Oreochromis niloticus: one gene and its partners. The protein of the gene in region 1 purifies or fractionates together with the protein of each later gene. This does not show direct contact. Links are inferred from orthologs where the notes say so. Each region holds a gene or a part of one and is shown in the gene's direction. Other genes may lie near its edges.

The links.
Region 2: the proteins of tsen2 (region 1) and tsen34 purify together in Homo sapiens (affinity purification with mass spectrometry; 3 studies listed by BioGRID and IntAct, counting the BioPlex papers as one, with this or other methods). This does not show direct contact. The link is inferred for Oreochromis niloticus from reciprocal best matches to the Homo sapiens genes TSEN2 and TSEN34.
Region 3: the proteins of tsen2 (region 1) and clp1 purify together in Homo sapiens (affinity purification with mass spectrometry; 3 studies listed by BioGRID and IntAct, counting the BioPlex papers as one, with this or other methods). This does not show direct contact. The link is inferred for Oreochromis niloticus from reciprocal best matches to the Homo sapiens genes TSEN2 and CLP1.
Region 4: the proteins of tsen2 (region 1) and tsen15 purify together in Homo sapiens (affinity purification with mass spectrometry; 4 studies listed by BioGRID and IntAct, counting the BioPlex papers as one, with this or other methods). This does not show direct contact. The link is inferred for Oreochromis niloticus from reciprocal best matches to the Homo sapiens genes TSEN2 and TSEN15.

Annotation. Positions count from the first base shown.
Region 1 is NC_031970.2:1,298,050-1,305,952, reverse strand, and holds the start of tsen2 (tRNA-splicing endonuclease subunit Sen2), read left to right. Parts: upstream 1-4,443; 5' UTR 4,444-4,642; coding exon 4,643-4,807; intron 4,808-7,903. Other genes in the region: MKRN2 opposite strand protein, read left to right, coding at 19-250.
Region 2 is NC_031979.2:39,751,927-39,760,162, forward strand, and holds the start of tsen34 (tRNA-splicing endonuclease subunit Sen34), read left to right. Parts: upstream 1-5,146; 5' UTR 5,147-7,350; intron 7,351-7,610; exon of another isoform or gene 7,611-7,917; intron 7,918-8,172; exon of another isoform or gene 8,173-8,236. UniProt on the Homo sapiens protein: Constitutes one of the two catalytic subunit of the tRNA-splicing endonuclease complex, a complex responsible for identification and cleavage of the splice sites in pre-tRNA. It cleaves pre-tRNA at the 5'- and 3'-splice sites to release the intron.
Region 3 is NC_031966.2:22,597,250-22,605,173, reverse strand, and holds the start of clp1 (polyribonucleotide 5'-hydroxyl-kinase Clp1), read left to right. Parts: upstream 1-4,491; 5' UTR 4,492-4,662; intron 4,663-5,510; 5' UTR 5,511-5,560; coding exon 5,561-5,833; intron 5,834-5,978; coding exon 5,979-6,086; intron 6,087-6,178; coding exon 6,179-6,298; intron 6,299-7,924. UniProt on the Homo sapiens protein: Polynucleotide kinase that can phosphorylate the 5'-hydroxyl groups of double-stranded RNA (dsRNA), single-stranded RNA (ssRNA), double-stranded DNA (dsDNA) and double-stranded DNA:RNA hybrids. dsRNA is phosphorylated more efficiently than dsDNA, and the RNA component of a DNA:RNA hybrid is phosphorylated more efficiently than the DNA component.
Region 4 is NC_031982.2:10,347,903-10,355,835, forward strand, and holds tsen15 (tRNA-splicing endonuclease subunit Sen15), read left to right. Parts: upstream 1-4,950; 5' UTR 4,951-5,104; coding exon 5,105-5,167; intron 5,168-5,254; coding exon 5,255-5,336; intron 5,337-5,497; coding exon 5,498-5,633; intron 5,634-5,729; coding exon 5,730-5,901; 3' UTR 5,902-6,925; downstream 6,926-7,933. UniProt on the Homo sapiens protein: Non-catalytic subunit of the tRNA-splicing endonuclease complex, a complex responsible for identification and cleavage of the splice sites in pre-tRNA. It cleaves pre-tRNA at the 5' and 3' splice sites to release the intron.

The DNA of each region.
Region 1 (7,903 bases):
TTTCTCTGTGTGTCGCAGGTTCGATGAAAACAACCATAACTGCTTCAGCTTCTGTTTGCACTTCGTGAACGGCGTTCTGGCGGCCGAGGGCCGCGGCACTCTGAGCAGAGACGACTTCACCCACACCTTCATCCTGCCGAGGATGAGGAGGGTGTCCAAATACACCACGCTGTACAGGCACATCCAGAAACACCAGTTCTACACGGTGGATCGACAGCAGCACGCTCAGGGGGCGGAGCCCAGCAGCTAGAGACCAGCCTCACCCACTGTGTCTGTGACCACTTAGTCGGACCCACGACCAGAATGGAGTCCGTGTTAGTGTGTCATCGGTCACATGTGACGCTTCAGTGTCAGACCTGATGTGCAATGAACTCACCTTCACACACACACACACACACACACACACAGCTCTGTTTCATGTAGTGAGCTCAGCTTTGGTTCATGTCTGTGTGTGTGAGGCTGCTCGTCCTCCATCTGACCTTCTTTCTTTAGCGCGTTAGTTAGGGCTGTGCGATATGACCAAAATCTCATATCCCGATATTAAGACATCTATCGTCCGATAACGATATAAATCACAAAAATGTAACATTTTCTGTAAATTCTGTGAATCTCGGGCAGCTCGACTTGCGTGAAGTGTTTCCAGCTGGGCGTCATGGACCTGGAGTCAAGTGTTTTAACTGATGCATGAAACGATACATTTTTAGACATAAGTTGTAACGGCCGCCGTTTTCTTTGTGAGTATTTATTACACAGCGTGCTGCGGGGAAAAGCCTGTTCTAACGTTTGAGTCTAAGGTTTATTTTTTTTAGCACCTGACGGCTCTTTTTTTGCTTCTCATCCGTAAATACTCTGCATCTTTCATGTGATTCAGTTTATTTTGAAAAGTCTCAACAGGATCTTGAGCTTTATTGTGAAAGGTTTATGTGGAAAATAAACAAGCGGACATGCCGTGGTTTTACCGTTGTTGTTGCTAACGACAACCCATAAAAACAGGCGCTTGTCTGTCTGTAGTGTGGTTATATTAAATATAAGAGAAAGACAGAACTTTAAGAAATTCATATAGCCACTACAGTGACCATCAAAATGATGAAAAAATATTGCCGTAAACAGTTTATTTTGCGACACCACGAAACAAACGATAGCGTAAAATGAAACGATAGACGTTTTTATATCGTCATCCGATATATATCGTTATATCAAACAGCCCTAGCGTTAGTTGTGTGAACTTTGACCTTTTGTTGTCCCTGAGCCACACCGAGGGTCTCAGAGGAAATTACAACTTTTATTTTATTCTGAAATAAAGTTTCTTAAATCGCACTTCCTGCAGCTCTCTGCTGTTTCCTGCCGTGGAGCTGCAGGTTTTCACCCTCGGGGGCAGAATGTGGCGGGTGGGTCATCGCCATGACGATTGTAGTGTGTGCAAGAACAGTGATTATTAACACTGATTATAAATCCCAGTTCTTCTATCGGCCCGTGAACGCAGCGTTTCACCTTCATGTGCATTAAAATGTGTAGAGATGGGCAGTAACTTGTAGTAAGTAAGTAATATGTAATCTGAAGTAATCCGATTACTTTTTTCATGTAAGGGATTGAGTAAAGTAAGGGATTACTATTGCAAAAAAGTAATTAGATTACTGTTACCTTCCCGTAAGCACGCTGCATTACTGCAATACTAAACCGTGATTTTGTTTGTTTGTGTCTCATGACAATGACGTACGAGCGTGCGGCTTCAGTGGCAGCAACAGACGTGTGCAGATCAACAATGGAGTGATGGAGAGAGTGTGACCATGCAGCCTTTAAAGCGTGGAAGTACTCACATTACTTTGAGTTTGATTCTGTAAAAAGTGACAGAAACATTAGTGTCCGCTGTGCACTCTGTGTGGGAAGAAAACTTCTTTCTAAATTTGAGCGAGCACCGAGCACGCTGCCACGGGAATGTGACGTTCACAGAGAAAGCCCCGGATCCCCCCACTGACATGACTGCTGTGGGCAAACCTCCACCCGCCCCACTCCTGCTGAACAATAGATTTAAGAGCGACAGGACTCAGTGCTGCTGAATCTGCTGTGTTTTACATGCATCTATTTCAAAGAGTGAGTGTAAACACAAAACATGATTTTATTTTATATGCTGGAATATGCAGAATAGGTATAAATGTTAAACATATTTCTTCAAGTCAATATAATTTAATGTTGTGCATAAAATTAAAAAGATTAAAACAAATAAAACAAGTTTTAAAAAGAGACTTTTTCATTTGATTCCATTGTATATGATGGATTATGCAGAAAAATAGAATTGGGCTGAAAGGTCTGTTGCTTTATTACATATTCAGGTTTGTATCATGTTTTTAAAAAGTAACTAAGTAATAAAGTAACTAATTACTTTTGAAAATAAGTAATCAGCAAAGTAAAGGGATTACTTTCTTGGAGAAGTAATCAGTAAATAGTAACTAATTTCTATTTTCAAGTAACTTGACCAACACTGCCTGTGACTGACCTGTGTTCGACTCTCGGCTGAAGCAGAAGTAAAACTTTGTTTTGGTAACCACGGCTGTGTTACATACACAACACATATTCAGGTATTTATTCAGAAAAAGTTTTATTTGTATCGTTGTTCAAACTCCTGAAGTAACAAATGAGTTTTGCTGCTTTGACTCTGAGCTCTCACATTTACTATGAATGATTTTCACACTTTGAGGTCTCAGGTGTTTCTGTGATTCAGTGCAGACCAATCAAAATGCTATCAGAGCAGGGGCACGGCTAGGCTGGCGTGGAAACCAAAGCCATTTACACATATGTAGGTGTTACATTCTCTAATATGCATCATATATGTACTGTATAGCCTGTTTAATAAATATGTTTGCAGCCCAATAAGTATAAAATCCAGAAAGCTACAAAACATGGTTCAGCTACAAACACAAGTCTAACTTCAGTTTCACTCTTTTTATTACAAATAATCAAGTTAATTTTACACAAAATGTCAGAAATGTGCACGTCATGAAACATTTTTCACCAAAAATTTAAACCTAATTTTTCAGGATTCGTTGGGTTAACCCGCTGGGCTCCAGGATACAACAGCTCATTTTTAACTATGTTTGATTTTATATTTATTACTATTCATTTTTTCTCGCCTTATTTTATTTCCTTTTTCTTTTCAGCACAAGGTCTGAATTCACAGTTAGTTTTTCATTGGCATGCTGTATTAATACAACTCATCTGAAATCACACAAGAACATAAAAACCAAGTAGGAAAAAGTTCATTTTATTTTAAAAACTCGTGCAAAAATTTGATAAACAATAAAGTTATACACAACTTTTGACCTAAAAATGCAGCCAATGCATCTGGTGATTTTTGTATAACCTTTTAAGAATACTACTAAAACTAAAATTAAAGAACAATCAGGTGACACAATAAGATGCCCCACAGTGCAAAAAATAGTTTGTCCACCACAAGACAGAGGAGAACCCCACAGGGATAAACCTGCAGGTCTAACAACAGGAAGTGGATCACTCGTCCTGGAGCCAGCGTTTACACTGCAGTCTGCCTTTGTGACGTTCATTAGTGCCCTCACTGACACACAAAACAAAACAAATGACTACACAACACACTAACTACACACTCCAAACACGAGAAACGTCACAAATCTCTCACAACTTAAGACTCGCTGTCCATATCCCTCTCTCTCTCTCACCACCGTTGCTCCAACACTTCCCCCTCCTCCTAAATGAACCAATCCCACGTGTTGCCATATTTTTATTTTTATTTTTTTGGTACATTGGTGGCTTTTTTTTCCTTTTATTTTTTGTGCTGTCCTTAGAAAACGCATTTTTATGATTAAAAAAAAAGCATCGTGTATATAATTTTTTTAATCATAACTCTGGTTTTAGTAGCCTGTCAATAAAATTTACAAATATATAGTTTGGAGTCTGAACTTTCAACACAAGCTGAAACAGCGACTCAGCGTGGCTGCAGCTTGTAGCTATATCGGCTTAAATCAGTCATGTGATTTGGAGGCGCAGCACACACAGGGTTAATAGCGCTCACCTTCATCATCACACCACCTGTTTGAAATCTGAAATGCCCATGGTGTTGCTCAAAATGTGCTCCGGCACAGATGTGGGCGGGGGTGACACTATACAATATAATATGTGTTACAATTTATATTTAGTGTGAACTTGTAGCTAGGCTTAAAGTGTTAATGCTAACTTATTTTAATAAACAACATTATCACATGCAAAGCCAAGGAGGCAGTAGGGGTGGCAAGAGATTATTTTAGGGTGCTACCTCATGCCACCCCGTAGATCCGCCCCTGTTTCAGAGGCTTTTAGTGGCAGATGGATGGAGTGCATCCACACAGGTGGTGCTGGCAGCGTGAATGGATGAATTCATTACCGAAGGCACAGCTTCCGTTTTTAGCCTGACAGGAAGTGTTCGTCAGATTTAGGATGACACACAGGAGCCCGCAGGGGGCGGTAACGGGTTACGGGAAAAGAAGAAGAAGAACTGGAGGTGGAACTACACGGAGAAGATCGACAGTTCCAGTCGGACACAGATTCGGTGACGCCACAGCAAAACGAACCGCGCGGAGGCTAACAGCTAGCAGTGCCAGACCCGCAGTGCCAGCCCGGTTCGACACCAGGGAGCATGCACGCGGACTTCCGGGCTCCCCGGCGCCGCCTCCGGGTCACGGAGGAGCTCGAGGCTCCGCTGCCGCTCAGCCCGCGCGAGAGGAGTCACTTCCGGGCGGAGCTCCTCAATGAGCACGTGCTGGTCTGTGATCCGGAACACAGCCAGAAGATCCACGACCAGGTCTGACCACACCCACCTCACCCGAGCCCCTCCCATCTTCTACAGAGCTAACAGCCGCGCGTGAGAATCAGAACAGCCTTTTTTTTCTTTTTCTTTTTTTTAACTTTATTAGTAGAATTACACGGGCACAGACGGTCACGGGGTTCGTGTAGCGGCCGTTAGACACAGACTGGGGCTGAAACAACATATCAAACAAGCAGCTTTATGGGAATGTTGTAACATATTGCCTGGTTTGCATTAGAAAATTTGGATTGAGATTTAGCCAGTAAGATTAGTAAATTAATCAAATAAACTTCGTTTGCTTTATTTCCAGGGTCAAAAAAGCCAAACATTATTTTTCCATAACAGAGAGAGCGGTCAGAATAGATCAACGAAACAACAAAGGCACAGAAATCCCACCAGGAAAGATAAAGTAGATAAACAGGACAAAGACACGTGAGCAATCTCTTCATTCTGACAGGAAACAAAATGAACAGTTAACATCAGTCTTTTTTTATATCGTACAAGAAAAGTTCTGGTGGGGTCAAAACGATGAATGATTTTCAAAGATATTTTCTTTACTTTGTTGGTTAACTGGAGTTTCGATGATAAGGTCCAAATTTTCTTCCACTCCAGGTCCCAGTATAATTAGTTATTCCAGTGAGCACTGGCCACTGGGACACAAGTTCTGTCTTTCTGAAACAGAGTTGGTTTGTCACGGGTGTTTTTCTTCTTTAGATAGGGGAAACAGCAGGATCCAGTGGTAGAGGGTCAGATCACTAACAACAGAGTTTCACCAAGTCGCCGGTCCTGGTGTCGAGCGCACAATTTGACGTCACATCTTGTGTTAGCCGTTAGGGTTAGAATCCTGCAGTAAAACCCCATTGCTCACTTTGATAACTACCCTGACGCTCACACTGTCCTCCAATCATAAAGCCGTTAGGACGTCAGTGTTCAACATTCAGACAAGAGGAAGAAGGAAATAAACAGGAGAGTCCTGCCGCAGCGTCCTGCACTTTAATGCTGGATTTAAATACTAGTGTCCATAAAGGTGCCACGACCTCCTTACACTCACCTGTACTTATATCCACGGCTACAGATGGCTGCCAGCACGGCGCTGGCACCCTTACTGATCTGGATTATTGATAATCTAATTGGACTCTACATCCCAGGGTGCCAGTGTGACAGTATAAAGAAGGCGGAGCTTCAGGTAAAGCTGCAGTCTTTCAGACGGCCTCCAGGGGGCGACAGCTGTCAAACCGGTGCTCTGACCTCACTGAGCAATTTGCTGATACACTTATGACTAAATCAGAATCCTTTATTAATAAGAGTAAGAAGAGTAACAGACTGAACTAAATTAAATATATAAATTAAATACAATATATTACAAAGTTACAAAAAATATGAAATAGCACTATATAAACAAATAGCTCAATGATAAATGTCCAGATTATTACAGAGATTAAATATACATGATAGACATTTTTCACTCTAACCTGTAAAACTTTGTCGTTTTCACTGTGGAGGACGTACAAACGCTGTAACTACTCCACCGTGTGCTGTATATTAGGCTGTGTCCCAATTAAGAGACCGCACGCTTGAAGTACGCGCACTACACGTACTACGTACGGTGCGTAATATAAGTACAAGAAGTGCGGAAGTGAGAGGCTTGTGAAATGGGACGGTCTAGCCTTCGTAGCGCTGTTCAGGTTGCCTAGCAACCATGATACTAACCGCGAGAAACGTTACATACAGCTTTGTGTGACATAAATGAAGGAGAAAAAATGTTTTGTTGGTCAATCATTTTTGTCATGACATCACTTTGATTAGTTGAGTATCTGAGGCTGAGACCACAGGACTGTGAAACATGATTGTTGGGCTTCATTTCTGTACTGAACAGTCATTTCAAGATTAGTTAGTAAATAACAATTAGCTAATGTTGTTCATGAGACTAAAATCATCTCACTGTGGTAATGTAAATATAATATGGCCAATATTATATGTATTGTCAGATTATTATGATATGTATATATATATATATATATATATATATATATATATATATATATATATATACATATATATATATATATATATATATACATATATTATTTTTTTAATATATTTTTTTACAGGATATATTACAGCAGTGAGCTTGAACTCTGGGTCAAAGATTCAAGTTGCTGTTATTTATATTACCTATTCCTTAAATCTTCACTCAAAGACAAGTATCTCTGACAGTGTATATACAGATGTATTATATATAAGAGACAAACATTGTTCGTTTAATATGTTGACATTACTAAATTTAGCTCAGTGCTTACATATATGTGGAAAAACAAAATGTACGAGCTGTGATAACTGTGTCTGATAAAATGAAGAGTAGACTGATATATTAAATATTCCTTTATTGGGTGAGAAAATCAGACCATGTCATAACTGCTTTAAGTCATACAGAATAGATATCAGAGCCTTAAACAGGCTGACTTCTGCTAAATGGGTCAAACTGGGCAGAAAGTCTACAAACACATAACATCCTTATAGAATATGATGTAACACTATAGATCAACTTAGCTCAGAATATATAAAGCATATAAACAATTACAGCAATATGACGCAACAAACACAGCAGTGCTACTAATCCAAAATACTCAAAGCTTCATAGAACTGAAACAAACATTTATTTTTAGCTCCATTCTGCTGCTGATACATACTTTAGGTTTCTGAATATTAAACTTGTTGCTGCCTTTCATAGTGTGTAACTTGAAGGCCCTGAGTACTTTCTCCCACACTGAAAACACTGGAATGATAACATTATTTGAACATTACCTAATAAGACTGATTCAGGACAGACAATTAGTTATGTTAAACTTTCCTAGCAGTCCTTCACAAACAGGGAACAGTCTGTCTATTCTCTCCATCTGTCAGCTGCTGCTGGCTCTTCCTCCTCCTCTTCCTCACACACTCCTGAGTTTGTCCTGGTGGATCATCAGGGGTGCAAAGCCTCACAGATGATGTGCAGCAGTGGGTCCCTCAGTCTGTCCTCACTCTGGACACTTGCAGTTGTCACACATGGAAATCAAATGTGTGATAAGCTGCAGGATTCAAACACAAGTG
Region 2 (8,236 bases), on another chromosome or scaffold:
CTTTCACATTAGAGCCACAACAGGACCCACTAGAACATGGGAAAAAGTAAAAGTGAAATATAAGAATATTCTACAGAATGGTAATATTTATCACTTATATTGCTTTTAGTCTATGACAAGAGACCCTGGAATAATCTGTTTGTTTGTTTATAACAGCAACCAAGAAAAGGGCAGAGCAAATAAAGACAGGTGGTGGTCCTGCACCCCCTCGTCACACCCCTTTTTGTACTGTGACATTTATTGACATTGTGGGGTTTTTTGTGTGTAGTTTGACATAACACTCCATCACTTTTACCTGTTCCCATGCAAGGGGTGACTGAAGCATGCACAGTAAGTCGGGAGTAAGTATATACAGTACAGTAAGTATATATATATATAGAGAGAGAGAGAGGAAGAAAGTAAATAATACCCTGACGGGAGAATCGATATCTCTCTATGAGCACACCGTCGCGCTGAGCTAAAGGATCCTGTCTATCCCGCAATATACGCTAAATTCTGTAAACTCTCCTTATCAATCTTGCACCTTCCTTGCTCGCGTACAAACGGACAGGACATGGCTGCGACAGACTTCCCAAATCCACCTTCGCTTTTATAGCCGTGGTCTCTCATCTTGATTGCACGTAGTAATTTACTATTACTACTCTAAAATATGAATTACATCTGAAATAATCAAATACATGAAATAGAATGATTAATAGTACATTTCCCTTTTTTTCGGAAATGACCTGTATGTATCTGTATGAAATCAATAAAAGAATCAAATGCTGCATTATCTTTAGTTACATTGATAATATTTATTTATGGTAAAACAGTGGCGAAATATCGCTGTTGCTTTCATATAACTGCAGCGGACATACCTGAGTGGCCGCGATCTAATCCTGTTTACATAAAGTAAGCCTGCTCCCGAGCAGGTTTACGCTTACGCATCTGTTGCTATGACCGCAAGTCCCAGATGAGCTTCGGAGAACCGAACGATCCAAGATCACGCGAAATCGTCAACATTCAAATCCGGCTAACTTACTTAGCGAGGTACGAAGAACGGGCCCCTGGACACAGTGATAAGACATGAAGTACTGAAACCCGTCATACATGGAGCTAGGAATGCAGGGATCATTTTTTCAACACTGAACATGTTTGTAGCAGCCTACACGCTGAATTTTATAATGTAACTGTAGGTATAGGTGTAGATGGGCCACCACCCATGGGGCGAATGTTTGAGGTCAACACATTGCTGTGCCGTCTGGGAAACATCAGCACGTTTCTGCAGCGCAGCTAACTCACAGCTACTTGCTAATGCTATCTCAAGAACATTAGCACAAGCTGAAAAGCTAACATTAGCTTGATGAACACTGTGGTCTTCACTGACTCTGAGCTCTGTTTGCAGGTTTCACTGACTGTTTTTCTTTTTTCTTTTTGTTGTCCAGCAACAGCTGCCTGCTCTCCTGTTTACCTGTGCTGCTATTCACGACCTCACCTGCCTGACCTCTGACCCTGGCCCAGCGCCTCAGCCTACAGACGCAGGTCCAGGACTCGCTGTGATTGGACTTGGATCGGTCTGTGCTGGTTCTCAGTAACCTCACTGAACCCAGACACCCAGGATTTTAGGAGAAACCACCAATTACATGACCTCACAGTGCCTTGTCACCCCACCCACCAGCCAGTCAGCAGGAGGTCAAGGAGGGCGGGGTTTATCATTCAGGACGTTTGTGTTCCTGCAGACTGTTGAAATGTTCAGGAAACACAGAAAGAGCGTTCAGCAGCTCGTGACCATCTGTGTCACGTTTCAGGAGGTCAGAGAAGCTCCCAACCTGATTTCACTGCCGGAGGAGGAGCCAGAACAGATGGAGCCAGAACATCACTGTAGGTTTGAGTGTCTGAGCATCAGAACGTGAAGACTCTCATCACAAGCCGTGTCAGTCGCTGTCCGAGGTGTATCTCCGCTTTGAAACTCGTCAGTGACCCAGGTCCAGTCTGCAGGACTGAGGTGCCCACCTGTGAGCCGGCAGCAGACCAATCACAGTGTCCTCTGGTCTCTGACACGTTTAACCCTTTAATGACTTTACTTCAGGCTGCTGAGCAGGAACTCTGTGACTTCATCAGAAAAGTGTGGACACCTGAGGGGGAAGGGGCTGCGTTACCCGGGTAACAGCAACTGTAGCAGGTCAGATATTTATGTCTTGTATGAAGTGATCTGTGGAGTCCAGGAAGTATCCTTAAGAAGCGTCGTGATGAGGAGATGCTGGAGGAGGGGTCATGTGCCCTTCAGGCCTGCGTTTGTGTGGATTCTTCTTCTGTGGTTTTAGAGAAGCCTTAAGCTCTGCCTCTCTGGGGGCGCAGCATCATGTTTCATATCGTTCTTATCTGTCCCGCGTGCTTATTTTAACACAAACTTATCAGACATGACAGGACCTCCTCCTGCCTGCAGACACTCACCTCAGCCCTGTGACATCACAGGAGTCTGGTGTTTACCTGAATCCAAACGAGCCTTAAACGTACCCTCGGCCCTGCCGTTTCAGCTGGACGCTGCCCCGCCACTGCGATCTGATGATGTCAGCTGCTGTAAATGTTTTGTTGAGAAGCGCAGACGTGTCGGGTTAATAAAGCAGCTCTCTGTCTGTAGTCCTGCTGTCTGTCTCTCTGTCACAAACACAGCTCCAGGTTCAAAGTTACAAACTCAGCGGAGTTTTGTTTCTGTCAAAGGTGATGCGAGACAAGACGCCAACACAAGGCCTGAGGACAGGACGTGTGTGTGTGTGAGGACAGGACGTGTGTGTGTGTGAGGACAGGACGTGTGTGTGTGTGTGAGGAGAGGTGAAACGACAGTTTGAATCTATTCAATTGAGTTTTATTTATATAGCGCCAAATCACAACAGCAGTCGCCTCAAGGTGCTTTATATAGAGATCGACAGACCACGTGACTTTCGCGCGTTGCTTTGTGGGTACCCGTGGCAACAAAATCAAAACACTGCATCAGGCGCTAGTATTTCCAGCGCCGGTAATCATTAATTCTGCAGTTTTAATCCCTACTTGCATTTTATTTGCCCCAAAAACAGTTATGTACAAAACGAGGGAGAACACAGCAGGTCCGTACAAAGACAGACTTGACGAAAAGGCAAAAAAAAAGGACGAGGAAAAAATCAAAGGAGTGAAAGGGTCAGACCCGTACGAGCGTACAGAGCGGAGTAAGGACGTTAGCGTGCTGCCCAACTTTCATCACACACATATTTATTATTATATGGTCCTAAGTGTGAGTGCAGACACTCACAAGATGTTTAGTAACTTCAGATCCCTGCAACAAGCCCAGGTCCAGTTTACTTTGGTGATTTGGACTATTCCATTTCACAGCTGCTGTTACATTTTTTTCCTTTATCTCCTGTACAGGCAAACGCATCTATTTGTCGTTTCAGGTTGTAGTATTACACAACATTTTCAGATCTAATAGAAATAACATAAGTGTTTCATAATTCATTCAATTTATTATCTTTATTTATAACTGGCATTATTGTTTCATTCTATTATAGAATCTTACAAGAAAGAGGCAAAATTGTAAAAATCCATCATGCTTTATTAGCTGCTTCAGTGAAAAACAAATCAACAATGCAAAAAAAAAAAAAACAACATTGGAAAACAACATTGGAAAACAGTTATTCATCACTTGATTGCTTCAATACAACCCTTGGGCACATATATGCGGGACGTTTCGTGGCTGTTTTGATGTCGCTCTCTCTCTTAACCGATCAAATCTGGCTGTGGTAGCAGCTTTAAACTCGGTCTGACCCAGGGTGATAGAGGTGCCCAGTCTGGATCGCATTCCAGCATTTTGTAGGCTGGTTTTCCTACAAAACACAACAAACATTAGCCCGCAAAGCCACAGTGAACAAAGCAGCATAGCGCAACGTATTCAATCCAAATCAATATAAGACTTATTTGTAACCTACATCAACAATTATGTGATGATAAATTACGTAATACTACAACAGAAGACGTACCTTTGTGGAAATGCTTGGAGCAGACTAACATGTGAGCTGGAGTGTTCTGGGACGTTATATTTGGTCTTCGAATGGCTGCAATCCAGGTCATCCGTCGCCTCTTTGTTACTTCGGAAACATGGCTTGAACAATTTCTCTTCCACGACGTAATCCGATAAAAACCGATCTCTTTACCCGTCGGCTTCCCGTAGCTGTCATGTGACCGGCTATTGCAGTTAATAATACAACAGCTTCTTGCCATTCTTTGTGTTTCTTTTTATCGCTGTGTGACTGTTTTCATGTGAAAGCCTGCGCTAGTATGGCTTGCCACTCATTCCCAAAATCCTTTGCGGTTTTACCCCGGAATGACGTCACATTTTCAATCTCTATTGTACAGTAGATCCTACAATAATACATACAGAGAAAAACCCAACAATCATATGACCCCCTATGAGCAAGCACTTTGGCGACAGTGGGAAGGAAAAACTCCCTTTTAACAGGAAGAAACCTCCGGCAGAACCAGGCTCAGCGAGGGGCGGGGCCATCTGCTGCGACCGGTTGGGGTGAAAGAAGGAAGACAGGATAAAGACATGCTGTGGAAGAGAGACAGAGATTAATAACAGATATGATTCGATGCAGAGAGGTCTGTTAACACATAGTGAGTGAGAAAGGTGACTGGAAAGGAAAAACTCAATGCATCATGGGAATCCCCGGCAGCCTACGTCTATTGCAGCATAACTAAGGGAGGATTCAGGGTCACCTGGTCCAGCCCTAACTATATGCTTTAGCAAAAAGGAAAGTTTGAAGCCTAATCTTGAAAGTAGAGATAGTGTCTGTCTCCCGAATCCAAACTGGAAGCTGGCTCCAGGTGACCCGGGTCACATGACCTGGACCTGAGTCCGTCGGTGCATCTTTGTGCTCATCATGGCAGCTGCAGCTGCTTCATGTGATGTATGGTTACGTGTCCAGTGGTGACGTCTGGCTGGAAACTTCGCTGAACCCTAATGAGCACCTCAGAACCAATCACAGACCTCCATTCACAGCATTTAGTTTTGTTTGCTTTTAAATAAAACTCGGAGCTGCTGCAGGTGAGTCGCTCTGATCGAACACTCGAAAGGAAACAAGACATCATCGGAGGCCAATTCTGACCAATCATGTCAGAGTCGCTCAGCGGAGGAGCTGTGTGTGCGTGTGTGTGCGTGCGGTTCATCCACAGCAGCAATCCCAGCGACAGCTCAGGCATCATGTTCTCTGTCATACGTGTGCTGTTCCTGCCTGTATGTATATGAGCCGGCCATCATCACCAGTTCTTTGATAGAATGTAATAAAAATCACTCAGAACTCAGACGTGTGGAAAAATGGTGTGTGTGTTGGATGTAGATGCTGATGTTCCTTCTGTGGTCGGGATTAGAAGCTGCACCGCTTCCGTCCATCCAACAGTTACCAGTTTGGGACTCACAGTAACGTTTGCTCCCAGCAGCACAGCAAAGCCGATCGTCAGGTTTGTGAGACAGAAGGAAAGAAAAGCAAAGACGCTGTGTCTCATTTATCGAGAGCATCCGCCACAGGACCGCACACGTCTTTGAAACACTACAAACATCCCAGTTTACTGAAGCAGCATCTGATCCACGAGGTTAGCATCATATTTGAGCAGAAGTTCAGTCAAAGTAAAGCCGACAGCCGCTCCTCAGGTCATGGTCTCCTCCTCTAGGTGGCGCTGGAAATTGTGTTCAGTATCACTAAGTGATTAAAGTGGGCCAGGCGACCTCGGTCCAGCTCCCTGATCCTCTGTTCAGTTTGCTGATGGTTTTACACACACGAGCTCCACCATGAGGGCAGCTCATCGTTTATACAGGCAGGTCCACAGGTATTTGGACGCAGACGGTTTTCTAATGTTGGACCTGAAACTGAATCTTCCAGGAAACAGATGCAGGTGAAGTGCAGACGTTCAGCTTTAACTCAGTGAGTTAAACACAGACTGCAGAAAACTGTGAGGAGCTACAGACTTCCTAACACAACGCCGTCATTTCAGGGCTCTAAGGTAACTGAAGATAAGTGAAAATAAAACGTTCATTTTTAACACTTGGTTGCAAACCCTCTCCCGACACTGACAGCTCATGGACGTCACCACGTGCTGCTTTGCTCTTTAATGCGCTGCCACCTTTACTGCAGCGGCTCAAAGCTGCTGTTTGTTTGTGGACATTTCTGTCTTCAACCAGTGAAATGCTCGGTGGCTTCATCGGTCTCTCCTGCACCGACACAAACCATCTGCTTCATTAAGATGAAATAAAGTTGTTTAGTCAACGATAATCTTTGTTGTATAACTGCACAACTTTCATACCAACATGATTTGTGTGTTTGTCACCTCATGTTAAAATAACACCAAGTGTTTGTTTACATTTACACCTGTTATATTGACTTTATGTTAAACTGATATCATGATTTTATCAGAAGAATTATTTATTCTGTCAAGCTGCTGTTTAACATGTTTGCAGTGAATGGATTTTCTACATGCTCTAAGAAACACCTTAAAAACAGTAAGACAATAAACACAAACACTTCTTTAACCAGTTATCTGTGTGTCCAGCTGCACTTGAACTTAGTGTCTAATAAACTGAAAAACAGCAGCAGGTGTCCCAGAGTTTACCAAAGGACAGCCCGGTGTCCTCTGGTTGGTCACTGTCGTGCCCTCAGTGGATCCTTGGGTGTGAAACGAGTGTTTCTGCATCAAAGCCAAGCTGAGGAACATTAGGCTGTGTCAGAGTCTGGGCGGCAGTAGTGACACGTCCACAGGACTCCATCCACTGAAGAGGAGTTCAGCAGTTTCCAAGCATCGGATCCAAAAGCCGAAGCTTGAGGTTGGTGTTGTCGACGCGGCGTCTGTGTGGAGTCCATCTCTGACGACTGATGTCTTCAAGGATCAGACATCAGGTGTGTTTATCAGATCAAAACATGTGTTACATACTGCCGCCATCATCATCATCATCATCATCACAGAGCATTTTTATAACCACCAAAAACTGTGATTTAACCCTCTGGAGTCCACGGACGCACCAGCGCGTCCAAACGACCTATGACCCATCATGACCGTTTGCTGTTCTCTGTTCGTGGTCTGTGTTCATTTTTACTTCTTACGCTGTTCGACTAAAAACACTTTCAGAGGAAAGAGCAGGGAGCTCACGTGACCCGGCAGTTGCGCTGCTTCTTCCGGTCTGAGCGCTCGTGTTTCCGGTCCGCCCTCCTGCCGTCTGTGGAGGACAGCGACAGCCGCAGCAGTTTACGGCAGGTCGGGACCGGGCGCGTGCAGCAGGCGCTCCCTCGAGAGCTCGGTGATCGGATCAGCTGACGGACCGGAGAGCCGGAGTGAGCCTCGGATCGGACCGTAAGTGCGCATGCTCAGGCTGCTGGCTCCTCTGCTGTTTGTCGGCTCGGGGACTGTCACTACAGTCTGGGCCCATCAGGGGTTGGAGTCCAGTCCTCGAGGGCCTGAAACCTTTACAGGTGTCCCTGCTGCAGCACACCTGAGTAACATCAGCAGGTCATTAGCAACACCTGACTGCACGCTCAGCCCCGAACCCTCCTCAAGTGTTAGTGTTTGGGAAATGCCCCACGTTCACGCGTGACATGATGATCGTCATGTTACTCAGGTGTGCTGCAGTAGGGACACCTGTAAAGGTTTCCTCGAGGAGTTTGTGACTTAATTGATGTTGACACAATCAGCAGACGATACAAGTTTCGGGCCAAATTTCATTTAGCTATTAAAACACTTCACGTCTCCTACAGAGCAGCAGGTCTCTGTCTTCACATCAATAAATGTGAGATCTCATTGTTCGGTATCGTTCTCACTAAAGACCAACAAAGACGAGGCTCATTAAACTTCAGTTTCAGTCGGTGCTCATTGAGCTCGGTCTCTGAGAGGCTTCAGTACTCATGCAGCGGGCATCTCCAGGTGAGCTGTAGAGCTGGGAATGGATCCTTGACTCTTCAGCTGTGGAAGAATCAAACTCATTTTATAAAGAAATCTTCAATGATTAACTCTTATGAGAACGCTGCTCTGACTTCCTTCCTCCTCTCTAAACAACACATTTATTATTACTCAGCTTCCTACAAGCATGTGTGATGTCATTCCTCTTCATATCCTGTCTAAAACTGGAGCTTTCATTTCTTTGTCTGTAATTCTGATGTTGTTGAAACTGTGATGAAGAGGTCAGAGCTCTGTTCCAGGAGGATCCTGTTCCTAAGCACATGCAGTCTTCTTCTGGAATCGC
Region 3 (7,924 bases), on another chromosome or scaffold:
ACAGTCAACCATTAATATTCACATTTACACCTACAGCCAATTTAGAATCGCCAGTTAGTCTAATTAACTTAACCCAATGCATGTTTTTGGACTTTGGGAAGAGGCTGAAGACTGCTTGAATCAAAGACTGGACATTCATTCTGCAAAGCAACAGTGGTAACCACCACATCACTGTGTTGCACTTTTGACCTTTTCCTAAATGTAAATCAGCAGGACAGAGATAAACACAAAAACATGTTTAATTTACTCAGGCAGCAACACGCATAACCCTTTAAATCAGGTAACACGCATTCACTGCTTTAACTGTATATGCTTAAGTGTGTCACCATACAAAAAAAACATGTTCCTGTTCATGTATATATGTATATAGCTACTTACAAAGATAATGAAAGAACACTTTATTGCTGTAGGTGTTTAACAAAAGGTTTGTATTTGCACTTTAAATGCAGTTTTAGTTAAATTACAGTAGTTATATTAACACATTTATGACATTAGAAATAATAACGGTAGATCTTATTTTCATTCATGCTCGGAAAACTTCCCATTAATGGTTTCGTCCAGCCAAACTGAAACCCCCTTCCCAGATATATTGGTACAGTCGACATGCGCGCGCCAAAGTTTTGTAACAGCAATGGCGTCCAAAGCAGGTGGGTGTGTGTTATAGGAATGTAAACAATACCGTGATTTTTTTTCTACAACAAAAGCTGTAACGGAGTTTGTCTCCGGTTGATATACTGAGGAGGAAGAGGGTTGTACCATTTTGATGCAGCGGTTATCATTCCCATGACTGTTTCTGCCTGTCTTTGTAGGTCATTTAGCTGAATGGCTACATGCAGGAGCAAAGTAGTAACTGCGAAGATATGTACATTATTCACTTTCTGAACTCGTTAAATCTAGCAGGAGTCGGCGCGCTGACCTTTCTGACCATGTTTATTATGCAACGACGCATTAAATGGGTCATTATTATTACTATCTGTTGGGTTATGAAACTTCTCAGCCTGCACGTGCCTGAGTCCTCCTCTACTCACTCTCCTCCCACCAAGGGCATGACAGGAGGAGTTGGAGCATTGGGCATTTATAAAACAGAACTCTTTTCTTCATTTTATTATGCTATACATTAAATATGACATGTAGCACAGCTGCATCCGAAATTATTTTGTACTGCTGTATTGTAAGACCTCTAATGTAACGGTGGTAATTGCATCTTTGTGTATTTAGGGCTTCCGTTATTTCAATTCAGTGACCATCTCATGTAACCTAAACAGAAAGAACTAGTTGTTTAAGGAGCTCTTTTCCCACCATGGTTTGTATTTTCCAGCTGTTTAAACCTTTGAAAAGATTACTGTTGGAGCTATGTAGTGGTTCGTTGTTTAATGGTTGTGTTGTTTAGTTCATCTTGAGTCCTGTGACAAACTGGCGATCTGCCCACAGTGTAAACTCCCTGTCGCCCTATTTGAGCTGGGAGTCTCACACCCAGCTGCAATCCTGAATTGAATAAGCAGAAGAAGATGGATGGAATGGTGGATGGATGATTGCTTTATTTTGGGCTTTTGTAAGACTCTAGTAAGGCCAAAGACACCTCAGGCTAAATAAGTAGGTGGGCGGGCATAGGACCAGCATGCACCAGGGAGGGCCTATGGTTTTATTTAACCATGGCAAAGGAAGCAACAGGAGCCAGCTGCTTGCAAAGGATCAAGTAAATCGATGAACTGCATGTATTTTTTCTTTTGGGAAATTGACTTCTTTTTTCTTCTACATACTTTACTTGCACATTGTGCATCACTGGCCTTTTGATTGTGAATTTTGAATTTCACTTTTCGACAAGCTGCCACTACAGATACACCCTTGAGTCCTGAAATGTAGCTTCTTGTGCAGGCTACTCTCTTCTCTGTCCTATTGATGTTTTTAGAAATTTTCCATTCAGTATTGTGCGGTCTGATTGAATTCTGGGTCATGGTCAAAAGGACAGAGGATAAATGAGATATGGAGACACAAATTCAAGAAATAGCCAAACACAAAACTACACATGTGTGTTTTTAGGTCGTGGTGGGAAGAAGCGCAAAGCAGAAGTTCAGGTAGAGGAGGAGAAACCTTCAGTGGAGGAAAAGAAGGGCAGAGGAGACGATGAAAGCAGCCAGGAAGGCCTCAGGGTGGTCATTGAACACTGGTATTTTTTTTTAATCACATTATAATCAGTGGTGAAGGAAATGCTAATTGCTTTTATGTAAAGTGAGTAAATATAGCCGTTGTTTTAAAATACTTAATCACAAATAAAAATCCAAGTGTTTAAGTATCAGAGGTGAATGTATTGATTAGGTGGAAAAAAAACAATGGTTCTCATGAAATCTGTTTATATTATTATTAAACCAGAAGCAAAATGGATAACATCACAGTTCACTTTGTAACTCAACTATTTAAATCTGCAACAAGGTGTAATCTTGATGTCTCACTTCTGGCAGTAAAAGCTGACGAGTGTACGGGCGTAATGCTGAGGAGGTGAAATCCGCCCTCCTGGCTGCCTGCCCTGAACTGACTGTGGTCCTCAACCCTGAGAAACCTCGCAGGAACAGCTTCGAGATCACTCTGCAGGACGGGGGCAAAGGTAAACACGCTTACTCAGCAATATGGATCCTTCAGTGTAAAATAATGATACAAATGACACTTTCTTCCCGATTCCTAAAGAAACATCTCTGTGGACTGGAATAAAGAAGGGCCCACCTCGTAAGCTGAAGTTTCCACAGCCTGAAGTGGTAGTTTCTGCTCTGCAGGAGGCTCTGAAGGCTTAGACACCCAGTGAAGGTTTGGCAAAGCAGTTTGACTGAATAATGAATGCATAAAACAAACAGATACAAAATAAGAAAATGCAACTTTACTTTTTCTTCACATTAAACTGCTAACTTATGTAGCCCTGTAAAGAGAATCAAGTCAAAATGTCTTCAGTATGAATTGTAATGCAGCTATTCAGTGAACAACAGTTGCGTACAAGTGTCTTTTTAACAAAACGTTTCCCATATTATTTGCAGCCCAGCATTCTGGAGATGCAGCCAGTGGAAGCAAAAATGACGAGAAGTGACCAAGGAGATGTTCTCAGTCCCTCCTCTGATGAGCCATGCTCTAACTGCTGCCATCTTCTGGGTGCACGGTGACACCTAGTGGAGCTTAGCTGAGCCAAAGCATTTCTCTGACACATTACTGCTGTTTACTGTTGTTTCACAAAAGTTCAGTAGTGGTTTTATGTCTGTTTTGTTTTTTGAGAAATAAAATCTTTTTTTGGTAATTGTGTGTATTTTGTTATAAGTCTATCCAAACACTCATCTGTTTTATGGAAAGTTTTTCTTATTTAAATTCAGGAAGTGTGGAGAAGAAAACTAGAGATGCATTTTGTGTGTTGAACTCTTGGCAAATAAAGTAAATTTTACTAATTGAAATGGTTAATAGTTTTAAACAGCTGACAAAGTACCTTGTAGCATATTTCAGAAGGTTGTCTAATTGCATTAACCCAAGCAGTGCCCTTAATTAGTAATTTGAGGGCTCTGGTAGTGTTATGCAAAAAAGTAATTGCCAAAACGTGATTGCAAATATTTGCTAAAAATGGTTGCAGGTATTTAAACAGTTTTAAAACACTTGTTGGACTTTAGAAATTAGTATATCAGAAGAACAGTTGAGGTTGAGCAGATTGGAGACAAAGTTAAAGAGGAAAGGCTGAGATGGTTTGAACATGTGAAATGGGTACATTGGATAAAGTATGTTCAATCTGGAATTTCCAAGCAGGAGGAAAGAGCAAGACCACAGAGAAGGTAGTGAAGGAAGACATGCAGAGGATTTGCGTGACCATGGAGAATGCTAGGGATAGAGTGAGATAGAGACACAATCCGTTGTGGCGAAATGAAAGAAGATTTGTTAATCTGTGTAATCTATTATCTGTCAAGCGTCTCTTGTGTGAATGAAATCAAGCCATCCCAAATCCCCCACCCCAATTTTTTAATAGAACTTTATTAAGCAACAGTATACAGAGAGTGTATACAAATTGAAACATAATTAACATATGCCAGGGGGTGTAATGTAAAACGTTACATACATTCAGATAATTTTTAATTAGTACAAATAATAATTGTTTTTATAGCCTTTTTATTAAGTGAACCACTAATCAATTTTATGTAAGATAGACTATCATTATAGTACTGTTTAAAATTAGGTTGTATTTGCATTTGTGGAAATAAAATTTAGCTAAGATAACTAACAGGTTTATTATAAAGTATACATCCTCATTTTTTGCCTTCGAAAGAAACAAAATACAGAATTTTCCCATTTCATAGTAAAGTTCTTGTAGAAAAACATTCCTGTCACAAAGTAGATGCTATAATGAATTTTGTGTCACACGTGCAAAACTAATATAAACACGTCGCGTTGTGAGGACGTCACACAATGACACCCAAAAAGTGATCGTCTGCTAAGTGTTTGCGAAATTTTGTTTTGTTTTTTATATCAATATAAGCAAGGATAGCAGACACACAAAAAGGATTCAAAGTCTTCCGTTTTTGGCAAACGAACATTTTGTTTTAATAGTTGCCAGGATGTGACGTCATTATCACGCGACCAGACACTTCAACGGTTCCTCATGAGCACGGGACCGATTTCTTTCTACAACAAGTCTTGAAATTGGTGCGTAACTTTTATATATTACAAATTATTACGTTTTAGACTTTTGCTTGACGTTGCGAGAATTATCTAACGGGTTTGTAAGCAGTCATTCGACCTTTGCTAGTCTTAGAAAGGTCGAATTACCCCCGGTGGCTCCGCTAGCTGGTTTGTTGATTTAACTGGTTTCCCTCTTAACTTTATTTGAACCTATCATTGTCCGTAATCAGGTGTGTTTTTGCAATTTGGCTTATCAGGTAGCCAAGATTAATCCCACCGCCGTGGTTTTAGGACAAAATCACTGAAGTGTCCTTCCATTTCAAATTATCGTGGGCCTTCTGCTGGACTACATCGAGTTGCATAAAAATCTTACGGTCCAAAGTTTTGTTATATTATATTATTGCTGTGAACTTATAGTCTCATATATAGAAAACCCTTTTCAAAGAATTAATATGTGAAAATATATGGACCAACTTTGGACCATAAAACTTTCAGGGAAATCGAAAATGGTCAAGCAGAAAATGTTCAAAAAATGTCGTGATCTGACATTGAATAATCCTGCCGGAAAACACCGAGCACAATATTTAAACAATTGGATCTGTTACTCTGTGTGGTCAAGTTTATCCTTTATGCATACAATGTTCAAACACCAAATTTAAAATAATGTGAAGGGTAATGCTAGAGTTAAAATTAGTGTTATTAAAAAGTTATGGGACTTCAGTAGTTAGCTTGTGACTTTAATTTGTAAATACTTAATAAACATCTGTGTTAACACACTTTCCTTTAAGCATTGCTTTATTAGAGAAGCTGTGTGTAATGTTTTGTCGTATTACTACTTTATGTATGGTATGCATGTAACTTTTGCTTTTCAGCATGCTACTTCTGCCAAGTTATTGCAACCTGAAGTTTCTTGTTGACAGTCATGGCAACAGAGGGGGTGGAAAAGACGAGTGAAGATGCTCCAGCAGCTGGAAAGGCCAGCACCAGGTATGACCTGGAAAAGGAGACTGAACTTCGCTTTGAGGTGGAGTCGGGGGAAGCAGCTGAACAAGTTGAACTGGAGCTCCTCACAGGAATGGCTGAGGTGTTTGGCTCCGAGCTAAACCGAAACAAAAAGTATACATTTGGACCAGGCTCCAAGATTGCGGTTTTCACTTGGCAAGGCTGCAGTGTGAATCTTTATGGGAAGCCAGAGGTAAGCATGTGGATGGGAATCCTTGCAGATTTGGGAAAGTTCAAATGTGTCTGTTGTGTTACGTTTTGTCACATCATTGTGTGTTTTACTTTGGGTAAAAAAGGCAAAGCCACAAATAACCATCGTCTTGCTGTCACCATCGCAGGTTGCTTATGTGTCCAAGGATACACCCATGCTGCTCTACCTAAACACACATGCAGCCCTTGAACAGATGAGAAAACAAGCAGAGCGTGACAATGAGAGAGGACCAAGGGTACGTTTGACTGGGGAACTACTTCATTCAGGAACTTGTCAGATCCCATGAATACTTCTTGGATTAATACTAAATAATAAATCGACCCTCAGGTGATGGTGGTGGGACCGACAGATGTTGGGAAGTCAACGGTGTGTCGGATGCTTCTCAGCTATGCTGTGAGGGTTGGAAGGAGGCCAACATTCGTGGAACTGGATGTTGGACAGAGCGGGGTAAGATCAAGTGGAATTATCATTATAAATATCAAACAGTTGGCTGGTATTTAGAATATTGCATATTACAGCCTGCAGACTCAGTTTGTCTTGATTTTGTCCAAAGTAATGCTAAAGCATGTACAGCATCTACTTTGTTTATTTAGCTTTATAGCTGTGATGATCCCCCTGTTGATCTGTCCATGTGGCTTTTTCTGTTTTATCAGATTCACAAGTTCTGGAAAAAAATCCTGGTGTCTGTTTTAATATCTGTACAAAGAAAAAGAACATTAGTCTTTCAGTTGTTTACTGTCACTGGTGTTAATTCAAGTTATTGCAATAAACGTCAGAACATAAAGATTTCTGCACAGAATTGAGAGCACTGAATTGCTCCCTTCATTTATTTAAGGGAAAAACTATCCAAACCTTCCTGGCCTTGTGTGAAAAACATATTTGCTCCTTAAATCTAGTGACTGGTTGTGCCATCATTTCCAGGAAAATACTTAGAAAATACTTAGGTTTGTAATAACTGCGAATAACTTTCACATCACTTTGGAGGAATTGTGGATGACTTTTCTTTGCAGAATAGTTTTAATTTATCCACACTGGAGGGTTTCCAAGCATCTCAATTTGATTTAAGTCCAGGCTTTAAGTAAGCCACACCAAAATCTTTAATTCAGAGGTGGACGTGGTGGCATGTTTTGTGTCATTATCCTGCTGCATAAGCTAAGTGCACTTGAACTGATAGACACCCTCCTTCAGGATTTTCTCATAGAGAGCATAGAGGTTCCATGAATTACAGCACCCTAGACTATCATACTACCACCACCATGTTTGACTGCTGATCAAAATAGTTCCAGTTTTTATCTCATTAGTCCACAGGTCTTGGGGATTATTAAGTTGTTTTCTGCCAAATGTGAGATGAGCCTTTGCTTTATTTTTTGTTAGCAGTGGTTTTCTCGTTTGAACTCTCCCATGGAAGTCAGTTTGTTTCACAACTGTTCTTTTAGATCATAGCATAATGTATTGCTTTTAGCCCACTTCACGTTGTCATACAGGATCTGTATTTCTTGATTCAACAGGTCTTGTAGTAATCATACCTGGGTGTGGCTAGTAAAATTGAGCTCAGCTTTCCAGAAAATGTGGTTAATCATAGTTAGTGATTCAGTTTATGATTCAATAAGGGAGCAGATTACTTTTTCACACAGGTAAGTTTAGATAGCTTTTTTTCCCTTAATAAATGAAATCATCATTTAAGTGGTTTTTTTTTTTGTTGTTTGTTTGTTTGTTTTTTGTTTTGTTTTTTTCAATTTACTCAGGTTACCTTAGTCTAATATTAAAATTTGTTTAATCTGAAACATGTAATTGTGACAAATATACCCAAAATTAAGAAATCTGGCAGCGGGAAAATACTTTTTCAACACAGTGTAAATTTAAAAACTGTTAAAATACCAAGTATTTTTTTTAATGAAAATACTAGTTACTAATTGGAACAATAAGGAAATAGGCGTTCGTGCCTTTGTTGGTAATATAGATTATGAAGCAGTTTGGTCAAAGTTTGTAAATTACAGTATGTCTGTTAATAAAGTATCTATTTTATTCATTTGATTACACTCTATGCTTATTGTAACAATCTGAACAATCCTG
Region 4 (7,933 bases), on another chromosome or scaffold:
CTTTCACGCTAAAATGATATTATGAGCAACCCTCACTTTAGGGGAAAAACAGGCTCACTACCCAGTTTAATAGGTACACTTTGCAAATCTCCTTTTCTTTCATTCTCCCTTAATTATTTGTAGCATAGAATCAACAAGGTGCTGGAAACATTCCCCAGAGATTTTGGTCCATATTGTCTTGCTCCCCTCATCCCAAACTGTTTGGGACAGATGCCCTGCCCGACCCTGGTTCTGCTGGCGGTTACTTCCTGTTAAGAGTGTTTTTCCTGTTGCCAAGTGCTTGACCAGAGATGGTCGTTTGATTGTTGGGTTTTCTCTGTATTATTGTAGGATCTTTACCTTACAATATAAAACACCTTGAAATGACCTCTGTTGTGATTTTGCGCTATATGAATTGAATAGAACTGAATTGAGCTGCAGATTTGTTGGCTGCATATCTGTGATGAAAGTCTCCTGGTTCACCACATCCCAAAGGTGCTCTAATGGACTGAGGTTTGTTAACCGTCGGGGATATTTGAATGCGGTGAACTCGACTCAAGATTGTTCAAGAAACAAGTTTGAGAGTATTTATGACATTCTGTTCCAGCAGAAGATGGAAACACCGTGGCCATAAAGGGATGGATTTTTGGCAAGTAGGCTGTGGTGTTCATACAAGGCACAGTTTGTACCCCGAAGTATGCCAAGAAAATATCACCAGCCTGAATTGTTGATACAAGACGTGATGCATCCATGCTTTTGTGTTGGTTATGCCAAAAGCTACTATCCAAATATCACAGCACAAATTGACACTCAACACACAACGCAATGTTTTTCTAATTTTTATCCAATTTTGGTGAGTCTGTGTAATTTTCAGCCTCAATTTTTTGTTCTCGGCTGACAGGAGTGACAACTGCTGTGGTCTTCTGCTGCTGTTGCCCATCAAGGTTCAATGTGCTGTGCTTTCAGAGATGCTCTCTCGCAGACTTGAACAAATGCTTGTTTGAGTTAATGTTACCTTCTTATCAGCTCAAAGCCATTCTCTTCCGACCTCTAGCATCAATGAGGCATTTTCGCTGGGCAAACTGCAGCTCACTGGATATTTTCTTCTTCTCTGTAAACCATAGAGATGGTTGTGTGGGGAAAATCCCGGCCGATTAGCGGTTTGTGAAATACTCAGACAGACCATCCAGCACCAGCAACTATGCCATGTTCAAAGTCATCTAAGTCACCTTTCCTCCCCATTCTGATGCTCACTTTGAATATATCATAACTCCATCTACATACACAGACCTACATACAGTCCATGTATTGTATACAAACTCGTGCACATTTGTAATTACAGAATGTTTTTTTTCAGGTTATTCAGCAGATTTGTTAAACCTTTATCTTTATGATATAAATAAACTGCAACACAACACAAATGTAGCAATAACTTCTCAAAAACTATGATGCTAAAACTACTTTCCACTACACTTAAAATCATAGCTTAATATGCTAATAGGCATGCTAATCAATGAGTTAATAACAGTAGTATATGACTGTAGTATTTCCCTGAAGGTTTTCAAAGCATGTCATACTTTATGAAATGTCAACCATTTCAATGAGCAGAAACCTCAATTAAAGGTCATAGTTCGGGTGGCTTTAAGCAAAGCACTGTTACCTCCCGTGACTCAGTGCTTTAGCTAACATGGCATTTGAACGTGGTATTAAATGTGGTGTTACTGTCAGCAGAGGAGTTGTAGTATCTGATCAAGGACTCCTTCTTGTCTCTAACAGAGCTTTTTCTCTTGAATTGGCATAGTTCATTTCAATAATGCATTTTCATAGTGTTGCCACCATGAAAAAAAAAATCTGCTTCCTTTAACTACTGATTTTATATTTAATGGCCTTATAACAGACTTCTATAACACAGCATCTATAACAGATATGTTTCTTGCCATGATCTAATAAAACTAACGGACTGTCATTACTACAGTTATCACACCAGATTAAATAAAACAGAAAATAATAGACTTGGAATTCATGTTTTAATAAAGATACTTCTCTCCCTATAAGTGGATATTTACATAGCATGAAATGAAACTATGATGCTATATATTATCACTATCCCATAATTAGAGCCCCACACAAATATAGGTTGGGCCAGGTTACTGACTCCATAATGTACAATGCACTCAGCACTCAGCACTTTTGCAGCAGAGGACACGTCACACCTGAACACACAGAGTTTGGTGCGTTCACAGTAAGTTTCAAATCAGTTTGTGAAGTACATGATTGTAAAGATAGTTTAAAAAAAAAAAAAAAGTCCCATTGTTTCCTTTTCCATTATAGCTCTAACAGATGTTGAATGTAGGTTATATATAGTCTCTCAGTTTCTGTCAGCGTCAACCTTAAAAAGTTTTCTGCATTCATAAGTCCACCAATTTTAACAAGGTCTCCAACAGTACTGGCTGAAACGCAGCTCTAAACCATGACAGACCCTCCACCGTGTTTTACAGACGGCTGTAGACACCCACTGTTGTAGCTCTCTCCTGGCCTCCTCGATACATAATGACAATGGTTTCAACCAAAACTTGTAAATTTAGAGTAATCTCTCCATCACACCTGTTCCCACTGATTTCCAGACCAGTTATTGTGCAATTTGGCATACCTCGGCCTTTTTCCCTGTTTTCCTTCCTTAAGAATGACTTCTTGACAGCCACTCTTCTACATTGCCATATGTTCCTGCATGTTAACTCTGAGGAGCACTTCCAGGCATTTATCACTTAAACTTGGCTGGATGTTTAATCATGGCTACACACAATGTATTGTTCCTAAACAAACTTTATTTTGGAAAAACTGATACACTATTATTTGCCAGTCTTGAGGTGTGGAAGCCAGGATTACTAGGAAGTCCTCAAACAACTTCTGACTTGACTCTGGATCAGCTGGTCTGTTTATATAATTATGGCTGTTAAACGTTTTCTTTTTTCTTTTCTAGTCCCCATTTTAAAAAGTATTCACACCGACACTCCAGGAGGTTTGTACACAAATATTATTTTTCTTGATATCTAAAGCTGGGACTAGACAGCGTTTCATCTCAGAAGAAAAATCACACACCACACGGGAAAGGAAATGAGTAGAGTTAAATGGGGCCTCAGCCCAGGCAGCGAGTTCAACATGACACATGTAAACATCCTCAGAGTTCATATCTCTCTCTGTGTGTGTGTGTGTGTGTGTGTGTGTGTGTGTGTGTGTGTGTGTGTGTGTGTGTGTGTGTGCATGGATGGGGTGCAAGAACGGCACACCTATTGCAGTTTTTGCTGCACCACCTAGAGGGCGACAACAGCCATCATCAATTTAAGTCCTTCCTGTTCACTATAGATAAGTTGTTTTTAACAATGAAAGTCCTCAGTGCACAGTTTAAGTCTGCACATGCTTCCAGATGTTGCAGTGTCAGAGGAAGCAGACAACCTCATCTATAGTCACAGTCTGAATGTCTATAGCCACAGCCTACAGCTGAGAGGAGGACTGTGAAAAATGCAAGCAAGCAAATACATTTTTCAAAACATATTTTAATGGCTTTTCCAGCACACAAATGATCATAACAGAATTATCTCAAAAGATTCTTATACTATGAATCTGCATTTCTCAGATTCATAGGCTCTTCACTACCTACAAGAAGGCCGAACTTTCCAGCAGTATGACAATATGCACTAGAACTTCTCAAGCTTCACCTTCCAGCCAGTGATTGAGCTCTGTGCTCCTCTGGAACTTAACTCATCAGCACCCAGTTTCAAACTGTCAGTAAAACTTCCAACTGGTACCAGTTTCATCAGAGTCCAGAAATCTTGTGGGCATTTTTACTATTATGGATAAAATATTATGAGATTTTCAAATGTCACACTTGCCGTTCGCAGCTGTCAGTGTAGCATTAATGCTATGGATGACATCCTCTCCCTTTGGTCTAAGACTGGTTTCAGATTTCAGGCGAATAAATGGCTGGTCAGCAAAATAGTGCATCATAACCGGAAAGCTTTTCCCCAGCCTTAAATGATGTCATTAAATGTTGTTGGATTTTTGTTTTTAAGGTGAAGTATTCGTAGAACTGTAACCTGTGAATTGGACACACAACTGACATTAAACACCGGAATACAGTAAATCTATTTTTTAAGCACAGGTTCTTGGTTTCAGGAGAATTTATTGGGTAGAGGAAAGGGTGAAGAGAGAGCAAGTGACACAGGAGCGATGCATGGGCTCCGACTGCGAAAACAAAAATGACAAAATATGATTCAATAAAAAAGTGATCAAAGACTGAATATAGACTCTGGTTATGGAGTCAATCACATTATGTAGAATTACAGTAATGTCTCTGTCAGTGTGTGGATGAGAGGCTCCAGGTCATTTAACTGAACAATAATGTCTCTAATAGTGTTTGTTGCAGTGGCGCTCATATATCTAAAGATCCCAGGCTTTGCGAGTCTGCAAATTAAACATCGACATTAATGTTACTGTTTATTATTTTTTGATGAGACAATGTCTCGCTAAAATGAATAAAGTCATCAGGCAGCTGTAAATGCAGTTTTGTATTCTTTCTTTCTTTTATATAAGATCAGTTGGTGGAAGCAGTTCATTAGATGTCAGTAAAAAGTAATTATAACGATGCAGGAACTAATTTAGTGCATAGAGTACTGAGCAAAACTCCCGAGTCACCACTCATCTTTTTATATTTTGCAAACATACATAAAATCAAATTAAATTAAATAAAAACTCCTATTTTTTTCAGAGTCTGGAGAAGTATTGTTAGGACCACTTTAAAAATAATAGGAGAGGCAGTCTCCTCGGAAGCAAAATACAAAGAAATGATGTGTGGCTCAAAACCTTTGCCCAGTATTTACCTATAAGTTAATTTTAGGACTAGCATGATGAAAAGAAATGATTGACTTAAAAAAAAAAAAAAAAAAAAAAAAGCCCCCGAAAGGTGATGTCTCCTGTCTGCGTACGTGTTTTGCACGGACAACAAAAACGTTTCCGCACGGACGATTTTAACAGTCGCACTGGGTGACAGCGTGCCGTTTCAACAGCATGGCGTCACGTAGTGGTTATTGAGCCGGTGTTTCGCTTGCAGCTTTGTTTGGTAACGAACATGTCGGGAGCGTCAGGCGGAGAGAAACGCCCTCCTCCGAACTGGATCCTGCAGCATCCCGCGGTGAGTGTTAGAGCAGCTCCGTGTGTGCAGGCAGGGAGTCTGCCCGGAATGTACTGTGAGTAATCTGTGTGTGTGTGTGTCTCTCAGTACCAGCAGATGAAGGACCTGCAGGTTGGGGACAGCGCTCAGGTGCATGCAGCTTTTCTTGTGTACATGGATCTTACTGAGGGTGAGTTTGGCAGGGTTCTGAAACACGGGAGTCAGTTTGAGATTCCCTGTGTGGTGTATCCTGGACTCCTTACATCTCCCAGCTCTTCCTCCTTTCTTACAGAAGGAAAAACTTGATGTCATAACTTAAGCTCATACTCACACTGAGCTTGCTCTCTGCAGTGCGGCGCTGGAAGGAGGTGTCCTGCGTGAAGAGTCCTGAGCTGCAGGTGGTTTTACTGGAAGCGAGGGAGAAGGAAGGCGCACCCACTCTGACGATCCTTCCCCTGCCTGCTCACCAGTCTGTGACTCACAAAAGGTGTTAAGACGCTGGTCAAGCTCCCACACTTTCACCCTCACAGGTTACCCTCCCAAACCTCTGAGTCTTACGGCTTCTTCCTTTTCTGCTGTGCAGCATACGACACGTCCTGGACAGAGGCTTTCCTATGCTGCTGTGTGCAGTAGCCGCTGACTCCACGCTGGTCTACCAGAGGATGACTGACGGCCTGGTGACGCCGGACCCTCCTGTAGGACCTTTTCAGGATGTGGGACGCCGTCAGCACCGGAAGAGACGGCAGCAGCGCTGAGCAGCTGACTGAGAATGTGATGTATTGCTCAAAAATGGAAAACAGCCCCACAGGACCCCTTAAGCGGGAGTATGTGATTGTTAGGACGACCTTGCGGAGACCTTTGGCATCGTGAAGTTCACCTCAGATGCATGTTGATAGGTTAAGGCAAAGAGATAAAATTAACCTTAAGAAAAGGGTGCAGAGATTAGAAGTAACATTCCTTTTTTAATGACAGTTGAACTCCTGTTACAATCTGGAGTGGTGTGGTTTGTTTGCTGCAGTGTATGCACACTACAGAGTTGACTAGAAGCTTTCACAATGAAATCAGGGATGCCATATCTCGTTTCCATGCCTCCATAGAAACCTTTCAATGGGGCCAGATGAGTCTGCATCCACAAAACTTACAGCTACGAAGCCAGTGAATATATATATGATAAATGTGAAAAATTACAGGAAAAGTAGTTCCTGAAAAGGTAGTTCATTACCCAGACTGTCCTGCAATTCTGAAATATAAAGTCTTTGTTAATTTAAGGAAAATGATCTTTGTTTGTTGTAAAACAAAAACAGACATTTCTATAGTAGATTGTAGGAAAACAGGAACTTATCTGTCATTTGTGGTGTGAATGGCAAAGCTGTAACACTAATGAAGATACAGCTAAAAGTTCATAATCTATGCACTCCTTTGATTTTTCCGAAGCTGTCCAGTGGGTTAGATCAGACACTTCATTTCATTATTTTCATTTTGTACCTTTTCTGCATTTGTTCATGAGGGAAATGTCTCTTGTTTGTCTAAAAAGCAACGCAGAAAGTAGACACAAGGGGATAGTGTCTCAAGTCTAATATTTTGGGGGAGGCTGTGTGCACGTGTCCCCCTGAAATTTACGCCTATGGTTTATAATCCATGTCAACACATTGGTTTTTGACATGAATCCCTTAAACACAATTATTAAGACCTATTATAAATGTCAGTGATTGTTTTATTTATTGTAAAAAAACAAATGTGCCTTATTTTGAAATAAACATCAGGTGTGAGAAAGACTAATAGTTCAAAATGTATTCTTTCTTAATTTTTTAAAAAAAAGGACCTAAGGTAAACATTGCTTTATTTTTTAAAAACTTGGTGCCAATGCTGAAGTATGATTTGAGGGATGTTATGAATGTTAAAGGTGTTTTTCCACAGCAGGCATTTTGGCTGGAAATGGTAAGTAAACAGGTGTTACTAAATGCAGAGCTTTGATTAATGTGATTAGTAACACCTGTTTCAAAAATGGCTGCTGACGAAGGTCTGAGTTAGCACGCCAACTAACTCAGCTTGTCGATAAAAGTTGCAAATTGTTTCCCGCTTCAGTTTGTAGACTTTATAAGTACCAAAAAAATCGTTAAAACGTTCTTTTATTAATTTTGGAGTGCAGTGCAGAGATACCTGTGTTGGTGTATATAGTGTGTTTGCCAATAATTCAACAAGCAGAAGTTGTGCTTGCAATCATTTTGAAATTGAGGCCATTAAATTTTGTGTCCACCAGAGAGCACTGATGATATTTTTCAGCACAAAGGATGAAAGATGTCAGCAGTGATATTAAATAAGTAATTATTGCTGCTCATCAATCTGGGAAGAGTTACAAAGCCCTTTAAAACACTTTGATGTCCATCCTCCTCCTGTGAGAAAGATAATGATGCGATCGTCTCAGTAGTGGACATCTCAGTAAACTAAGACCGTGCAATCTCAGACTCTACATCAGTGTCAGCATGTTAAATGTTAAACTTCATGACATCAAAGTTAGAAACAGACGGAGCCATTATGGCCTGTTTGGAAAGGTTATCAGGAGAAGACCTGCTCACTTTGAAAGAACATGCCAGCACAGCTCCATCTGAACAAACACAAGACTTGGGGAACAATGTCCTCCGAACAGATGAAGCCAAAGTGGAGATATTTTTCCACTTTCCATGCATTGCTGAAAACCAAACAGCATACCAGCACAGACACCACCTACAAACTGTCAAGCATGGTGGTGGAGGGTTAATGATGGAGGTGCATCAGGGGGAGGTACTG